Tribolium castaneum: one gene and its partner. The protein of the gene in region 1 binds, or shares a complex with, the protein of each later gene. Links are inferred from orthologs where the notes say so. Each region holds a gene or a part of one and is shown in the gene's direction. Other genes may lie near its edges. The genes, in order: fl(2)d-associated complex component and Mettl14.

Region 1 (4,448 bases):
GGGTGTTGACACTTGAAATAAAAATCAAAAACATCACGGTAGCCATGCTCTCGCCACCAGACGCACAATTGGCGATTGAAACCACAATTTATGGTTTGAATCAAATCAGGATATTCAAACCCTATCAAAGTATAAAAATCCTGGTCACCCAAATGACCTCGAAATTTGTATTTGGACGTGAGATATTGCACAGTTTCATTCCTGATAATTTGGGAATATTCCTTTGATTTTCTTATTGCACTTAAATTAATCAAAACAACACCGGAATTATAGCCCTGGAAGCCACGAGGATGCTGCATATTGCTCGATATCGCCTTGGAATGATAATATTCTCCGAATGTTGAGTTCTTTTTCACTTTATAGGTTTGGAGGACGTGACGGTAGACTGGAGTCAGCTCGGGGGCCAAACCAAAAAGCGCAGTTGGCTTAAACCTATCAAACAGTTGAATTAAATTCCGATCAAAGTGATCTATGACTTCATGTCAGTCACAGGTCACTTTGACCAGAATAAGAAATTTCATAAACTCACTTGTCAAACTCCTCAAACACTAATCGAATATCCTTCTTAAAGTATAAATCACAGTCTAGTAGAAGGGCAGTTCGCTGGGAAGGTGGGGCTATCCGATACAGCCCCAAAGAAATATAGAAAAGTGCGTCGCTGTAGTAAGTACCTGAAGTCAAAACTAGTAATAGTGCAATTAAAAAGTAAGCCTTTTTACCCGGTTTTGAACTAAAATGAGGGGTCATAACGTCGACAATATCACTAATCGCTCTTGCACACGCTTCAACATCATAAAATTTATAAAATATTGCTTTATTCGAATGCGACACCACATCTGATATTTCACCTACTGCTAATTGCTTTGAGCTATTATCAACAATAATATGGAACTTTAAAGGAACAGAACTTATGTTTAAAATATTCTCCAACAAGTTGTGGAATTTATATCTTAACGGCGACCTTTGAGAGACTTTAGTAAATATCAACCAGACATTGTATTCTTTAGGCTTTTTGAATGGCAACAAAAATGTTGCATCGTTAGCAGAACCATCGGAATTGTAATGAAAAAACGTAAAATAAACAACTAATAACGCAGCAATTAAAATTCCAAGTTTTAACAAAAATCGTAGTTTAGGTTTTTTGGGGGCGTACATCGTTAATCATTTCTCTGTTTGTCGCAGGAATTGAACATTTTTTAAGTGTTACATTTCTATTTTTCCTTTACACAATAACACAACACAAACAACTGTCAACATAACCTCTCTTTTTGTTTGAAGACCACATTACGAATTTTGATTAATTTAATTAAATGTGCCTTTATCACTGATTGAACTAAAAATGCGAAAGCTGCTTAATGGAAAATTGGTCTTTAAACAGTGCTTTTAATATTTTTGCTCCTGTTGAAATGTTGGCCGCGACGCTACTGACTTTTTGTCAATAAATAAAAACAATTTGAAACAGACCAAAACTACGAAATTAATATCTAAATCATTCGCAAGTGGGGCATAATCAAAAATATATCATAATAAAGTGTACATTATCGACAGATTTTGAGTTTTAAAATTTTTGTTCCCGTAAAATTTCAGGTTGAGACCGCCACTGGTGTTGTCTGTTAAATGTCAAAAAACTATCACCTGTCAAGTGGCTACATTTTTGCAAAACAAATCGTTCCAGTTTTTTGGGAATTGGCTAAAATCTCGTTTGATTGATCAAAAAAGTGTCCATCGGGCGTTTGCAAGTCGAAATTGTGTTTTTTGGGCGCCATCTGTGCGGCATGATGTAAGGAGGCCCCTAGCCGATAAGCCCACAGTCTCCCATGCCGGCAACGTCAAACGTAAATATGGTAGCGTCAAGTGCTTCGCAATTTTTCCTCCTCACCTCGCGAACTCTGAGTGAAAATGTCTAAACAGGTCAAGCGCAAAATAACCGTGAACCTAACTCCGAAAAGCAAAGAAGTCTCGAAGCCTCGCCCCAGCGTGTTCGAGCGTCTGGGCACCAAAGCCAGCACCAGCCAGGACTTTTGCCACCACTGGGCCCAGAGCGGCACCTGCCCCTACGGAAAAGGCTGCAAGTACTCCTCCACCCACACCCTGATCAGCCCCTCGAAACGGGCGGCCAAGACCCAGCGCAAGGACAATGCAAATAAACGGGTCCATCCCGGAAACCCAGACGAGGATTGGGACCACTGGGACCCGGAGGAACTAGCCGACGCCGACCCTGATGATCTAGAAAAGCGCCGGCAAGAACTGCAAAGAGAACTCGAACTACAAATGAAAATGGAGAACAAAGCCCGGAAAAAGGACAAGAAAACCAAGAAGGAGAGCAGCCCCTCGACCGAAAGCTCGTCATCATCCTCGGACTCGTCCTCCTCAAGTGACGACTCCACCTCCAGCAGCTCCTCGTCCATAGAAACGCGTCGGAAGAAGAGTAAAAAAACCAAAACCAAACGCGACTCCTCCTCATCCTCATCGGAGCGCCCCCCGAAAAAGAAACCAAAAACGAAACGAACATCCTCAAAATCGTCACAACGCACCGACAAAACTAAAAAAACAACTAAAACAGCCCCAAAAGCCAAGTCTCCAACACCGCAACGCAGTCGGAAACAGTCGCAAACACCGCCCCCCAAAATCAAGCCGGGGCTCCCCCCAGCAAAGTCCCCAAGGCCCACGAGTCGGTCAAGCGACCGTAAGGAGAAACACCACACGCCCTCTCCCAAACCTAAAGAAAAGGAGAAGGAGAAAGAAAAAGAGAAAGAACGGGAAAAGGAGAAGGAACGGGAGAGGGAAAAGGAAAGAGAGCGGGAGCGGGAGAAGGAACGCGAACGCGAAAAGGAGAAGGAAAGGAACAAGAAAGATAGGGAGAAGGATGACCATAAAAAGAAAGAGTCAAGGTCGCCGAAACGGGACAGCAGGTCGACGAAAGACACTAAGAAGAGGGATACTCCAGATTCGTCGCATTCAAGGGATAAGAAGGGCTCACCAAGTCGGTCTAAAGGTAGCACGGGGAGCAGTCGAAGGGATCACAAGGGGACGCCGCCCAAGGAGGAGAGAAGTCGGGATAAAAAGGACGATAAGGATAGGTAAGAAACGAACTGTTTTTTAAACAATAAATCATAAAAGCGTAAGTTTTTTTAAAATTTTGTTAGAACTGTCTTCATTGAAGATACGCTTTTAGCAGATTCCCCCTTGCATTGCACTGTATATTGTATATGCGAGAAAGAAGTTCAAAGCAATGTTAGTTATGTATTATGTTTCTTTTAAATAGCACTTTCTATTTTTTGTTTATCACTGCTTTCGTATTCATCAAAAGACGAAAATCTTTCATTTAATGTTTCATTTTCACTTTATTTTCTTCAACTTTTACATATTATTATTTTTATTTTTAGAAATTCTAGCTTTGATTTAATGTTTCCAAAAATCTCACATTTAAATGTTTCTTTTGACCTTCCTGTGGAGTGTAATCTCAAATTCAAAGTTTCCTCTATCTTGAACTGCTCAGAGATTTTACACGTACAGAGTGTCTCAAAATTGGCGAATCCATAGTTCAGAGCATTGTAGAGAATCACTTCAGAAGTCTAAATTTAGAAGAAGAAAAAAAATATTCGGGGCTTTCCCACAAAGATGGGTTTGAAGATCACTCTTTAAATTGCGTTTTTTTTTTAAATGCAGGCTAAAAGTTTTAGTGTTGGTATTTATGGTACCTATGATTGTGGAAAATAATAAAATAAAACAATTTCCCAAAAGTTAGCTTTATTTTGGAGTAAATAAATCTAGAATGCTTCAATTTGATACTGCCAAATTTATTGAACCCTTACCTAAATCATTGTCTACTGAACTATCCACCTTTTCAGTTTTTTTTGAAATTCTAACAATTTTGAAGATGTTTTCACCTTTTAAATACATACTTGTTTGGCTAACATAATTTTTGATTTTATCTAAAAGTTTTGATGGATGGTATCACTGTTAACTTAAGTTTTTTTTAGTGTTGTTATAACTAGCTTAAAAATTGTGAAGTACATTTCCAATTAATAAGTTAAATGAAGCCGTTTCAGAATTTTATAGGTATACTTAGGTTTCACAGTTAGCTTAACTTTGCAATCATTAACTATTATTTATATTAACTAAATACTATGCTACTATTAATAATAAAAACAATTATGAAGTTCTTTACAATTAAAAAAAAACACAGAAAAAAACGTAAGCAAAAAAAAGTAAAAAATGAAGCTCTTGGGATTGGAAATAAAAATTAAAGAACAAAGGTCATAAACCTGACAGAATGCTCTGTGATTGGTAATCAGCATTTACGTTTTATGCAAAAAAATCTTTGTTTTCTAAAACATTTCTTTCATTAATATCTTCTTTCAATGTATTTTTTGTAATTTTAAATCTTTGAAAAAACTTTAAATTGTTAAGGCAGTATTTTTTCTAATTTTTTTCCAATTTTCTTA
Region 2 (3,971 bases), on another chromosome or scaffold:
ACATGATTTGGCATTTGGTGTAGTGCATGATTGCCTTTAGGTTTGAATGATTTTTGCCCAAAACGATTGCATGGTGTTGGGGCGAAATTTGGATAGTCATTTGAACCGGAATTTGGTTCTAAAAAAATTTCTAGAATTTTGTTGGAAAACACAACTTATAAGTACCGTCAAATTTTCGCACATGTATTCCATGAGCAAAATTGTAGCCTGCTTCACCTGCTCCACCTCCCATTCGACTCCCTTGACTAGTACTATAGTAGCATGAAGTTTGGACCTAGTTTTGAACATGACTTGCACTTTGTACTGTTCCTGGATTTTAATTACGTAAGGACACGTATTATCAATATTTTGGGCCATTATTGGAGGCTCAAACCCAAAAATCAGCGGAATTAATTCCTGAAATGATTGTACTAGTGGTAGGGTTGGATTCAAAATGTTTGATAACTATACCCTAACGCGACTCCTTGCATTTTCAACCCCTTCCAAATCGCCCGAAATCGAAACTTGATTGCTTTTTTCCATCGGATTCGAACGATTCGAATCAGGGAAATGTACGTGGCATTGAGTTTCTTCCATGACACGTTTAATACTCAGCCCTCCTCTGCCGATAATATGCGAATGGTCCGTGTAACTTATGTCCATTTTCATGGTTACACGATTGCATCTCGTGTACAAAACCGTCATAATCCTGTCTTTGGCGGCTTTAACATCCTCTTCTTTGCCGGCGATCCTCACGTGAGGATCCTTTTTCGATTTAGCCCCCAATTTGAGTTTGTTTGGCCACGTTATGTAAGTGTCAGTGTCTTCCATAATGTTCGCAAAAAAAACGTCAGCAGGGATCAGTGCATCGTTGTCCCCTTTTTTTACAAATAATTTCACAAATTACAAAAAAAACTTTACTTACCACTAAGCATCTGTTCCAACTTTTTGCGGTCGACCCGGAACCGGTCCTGGTACAAATCCGAAATGTCCTTTAATCCGTGTTTGGCAACAAAATCCCTTAATTCCTCTCTGGAGCCCCAATTTGAGTTGAAACCAGAAGTAGCCGTGCCGCTTTCCGACACTTCTGATTGTGTGTCGGAATTTTTTACCTCGATTCCACGAGGTGTAGCACAATTACAAGACATTTTTTTTTTAAATCACTACGTCCACAATTAATTAATGACTAACCCCATTTAATGGTCACTTTGTAAGGATTTTTACGCGTTTTTAAGGGCTGTGTAGGTGACACGCTTTTGGTAATTTGCGCGACTGAACTCTGATAAGGGCCAAAGAGAAGTTTTATCTCCTGCTTTTTCTCAGCATGTTTTTCTTCAATCTTATCTGAAGTACTCTGGTACAGGTAAGCGCCAAATTTTACTATTTGCCAACTTTTTCAGGTTTCTAAATAAAAGAAATAAAGTATTTCAACAAAACTTTATTTGTCCTTAAGTGTTACACAATTTATTTCTACCACAAATAATTCATCCCCCAATTTAAATCTACCGCCACGATATGTCAAGCGGTGGCGCTACTTGATTATCATCAATTTTCCGAATTTTGCCAAAAACTGCGGGGAAACTAAATAAAATGAGTTGATAAAACCCGTCTGCACTTGAAAATGGGTGAAGTTATGAAACACCTGCGTGAGAAATCACGGAAACGCAAGCAACTTCTGGCTCAAACTGTACGTATAGTAAAAATGTGGTTATGTATCACTGACAAATAATGTTTAAGCTTGGTGTTTCCAACCCCGAGGAGCTCCGCCAGGTCCTAGGAACCACAACCGAGGTCTCTAAGAGACGTCCCGATTCCACCAACAACGAAAACGAAAAATACGACTACAAGAAAGACACTCCAAATGAATTGGTCTATCGTGACTCTTCAACTTTTCTCAAAGGGACTCAATCGTCGAACCCCCATAATGACTACTGCCAACATTTTGTCGACACTGGTCAAAGACCCCAGAATTTCATCCGCGATGTCGGTCTAGCGGACCGGTTTGAGGAGTACCCCAAATTACGTGAATTAATCAAATTAAAAGACGAACTTATTGCACAAACTGCAAATCCCCCTATGTATCTCAAATGTGATTTAACGACTTATGATTTGAAAAACCTAAATTGTAAGTTTGATGTGATTTTAATTGAACCACCTTTGGAAGAATACCAGAGAACCATGGGGGCCACAAATATGCAGTTCTGGCCATGGGACCAAATCATGAATTTGGATGTGGGGGAAGTGGCAGCGCAACGAAGTTTCGTATTTTTGTGGTGTGGAAGTTCAGATGGACTTGACATGGGGCGCGTGTGTCTCAGAAAATGGGGCTTTCGCCGGTATTTTCCCCATTTTTAGACCAAAATTTTGTAATAATAAATCTAATTACAGATGCGAGGATATTTGTTGGATTCGCACAAACATAAAAAATCCAGGTCATTCGAAAAACCTTGACCCTAAAGCAGTGTTCCAAAGGACAAAGGAACACTGTCTTATGGGTATTAAAGGAACGGTTCGGCGGTCAACCGACGGGGATTTTATTCACGCCAACGTCGACATTGATTTGATCATTTCGGAAGAGAACGAATATGGAAGTTTGGAAAAACCGGTTGAAATTTTCCATATAATCGAACACTTCTGTTTGGGGCGTCGGCGCCTCCACATTTTCGGTAGAGACAGTACCATACGTCCAGGTTGGTTAACGATCGGTCCCGAGTTAACAAATTCGAATTTCAATGCCGATTTATACGCGAGTTATTTTACTAATAATAATATAACGACGGGATGTACGGAACGAATTGAAGCTTTGAGGCCGAAAAGTCCGCCTCCAAAGGGCAAAGGAAATTCCGGAGGACGAGGTCGGGGCAACTTTCAGCGAGGACGTGGCAGGGGACGTTGAAAAAACACTTTTTAAAGCTTTTATTTTTAATTTATGACACTACCATAGTCTCCAGCAGTGCGCTCAGATCTGATTTGAAAAAATTATGACACTACCAAATCATCTCCAGCAGTGTTCTCAGATCTAATAACTTAAAATATAATATTAATCTTGGATCACAATCACAATAAGCAATATCAATATAAAAACTATAATAACCATACAATTATGTATTTATATATAAAAATAGTGGTTTACTTTATTTTCGTTCAATAATAATGACGCAGTCACATAATTTTTGTTACTTTAACCTTATAATACAATTTTTATATTATAAAACTGGTTGGTACCATGTTAAAAAATATTTTTCTGAAGACCATACACTGGGTTCGAGATTGTTTTCAATTAAAATCAGTTAAAACATTAACAAAATTTGGCATCGTAAGTACAACTTGTTTCTATTGTTGAAACACAAAGAGAAAAATTAAAACATGTTCTAAGTTTAACTTATAAGAAGGTACTTCCTAATGTAAAAAAATACATTGAGAAAAAAACTATGCACTAAATAATTCGAGCATACAAATTATTGGTCTTAATAAAATAATTTAACAGCCTTTTCTAGGGAAGAGAGAAATTTTCGTTAAGTTATTACAATTATAAAATTAGGGAAAATTAGAACTGAAGCCTGAACAAGAAATCGTATACAGTTTTGGATCGTTAAATTATTCTTCATTCAGTCTTCATATTGTACTGGCAATTCGGTTCACAATTAGTTCATTTCTAAATTTCCCTACAAAAAAAACTAGGGAGAGGGTTAGGGGGAAAATGGCAAAAATCTTATAATAACCGGTAACCAAAGTACTAACATTGGCAAGATAAAATGAAATGAGATCAAAAAAGCATTTGTACTCTCATAATTAAAAAGTGTTTTGACTGATTTTAAACTTGGTTTAAAAAAAGCAAGCGGATGAATGAATGATCAAAAAAAAATAATGACACAATCCCTTCTCTACATGCAATATTTACAGTTTTGTACGATGCATGCCCTTTGAGCCTCCCATTCACAGGTACGTGGACTCCCCTAGAAATAAATTTAAGTAAGACTGATTTCCCAACA

Evidence for each region.
Region 2: fl(2)d-associated complex component (region 1) and Mettl14 share a complex: the UniProt entries of both Drosophila melanogaster proteins name them as parts of the WMM complex. The link is inferred for Tribolium castaneum from reciprocal best matches to the Drosophila melanogaster genes Flacc and Mettl14.

Annotation. Positions count from the first base shown.
Region 1 is NC_087398.1:11,172,536-11,176,983, reverse strand, and holds the start of fl(2)d-associated complex component, read left to right. Parts: upstream 1-1,636; 5' UTR 1,637-1,899; coding exon 1,900-3,080; intron 3,081-4,448. Other genes in the region: Xxylt (xyloside xylosyltransferase 1), read right to left, coding at 1-432, 530-671, 720-1,155. UniProt on the Drosophila melanogaster protein: Associated component of the WMM complex, a complex that mediates N6-methyladenosine (m6A) methylation of mRNAs, a modification that plays a role in the efficiency of mRNA splicing and is required for sex determination.
Region 2 is NC_087399.1:167,047-171,017, reverse strand, and holds Mettl14 (N6-adenosine-methyltransferase non-catalytic subunit), read left to right. Parts: upstream 1-1,471; 5' UTR 1,472-1,600; coding exon 1,601-1,666; intron 1,667-1,716; coding exon 1,717-2,315; intron 2,316-2,367; coding exon 2,368-2,875; 3' UTR 2,876-3,149; downstream 3,150-3,971. Other genes in the region: BicC (protein bicaudal C), read right to left, coding at 1-118, 166-396, 451-857, 905-1,127. UniProt on the Drosophila melanogaster protein: Non-catalytic component of the WMM complex, a complex that mediates N6-methyladenosine (m6A) methylation of mRNAs, a modification that plays a role in the efficiency of mRNA splicing and is required for sex determination.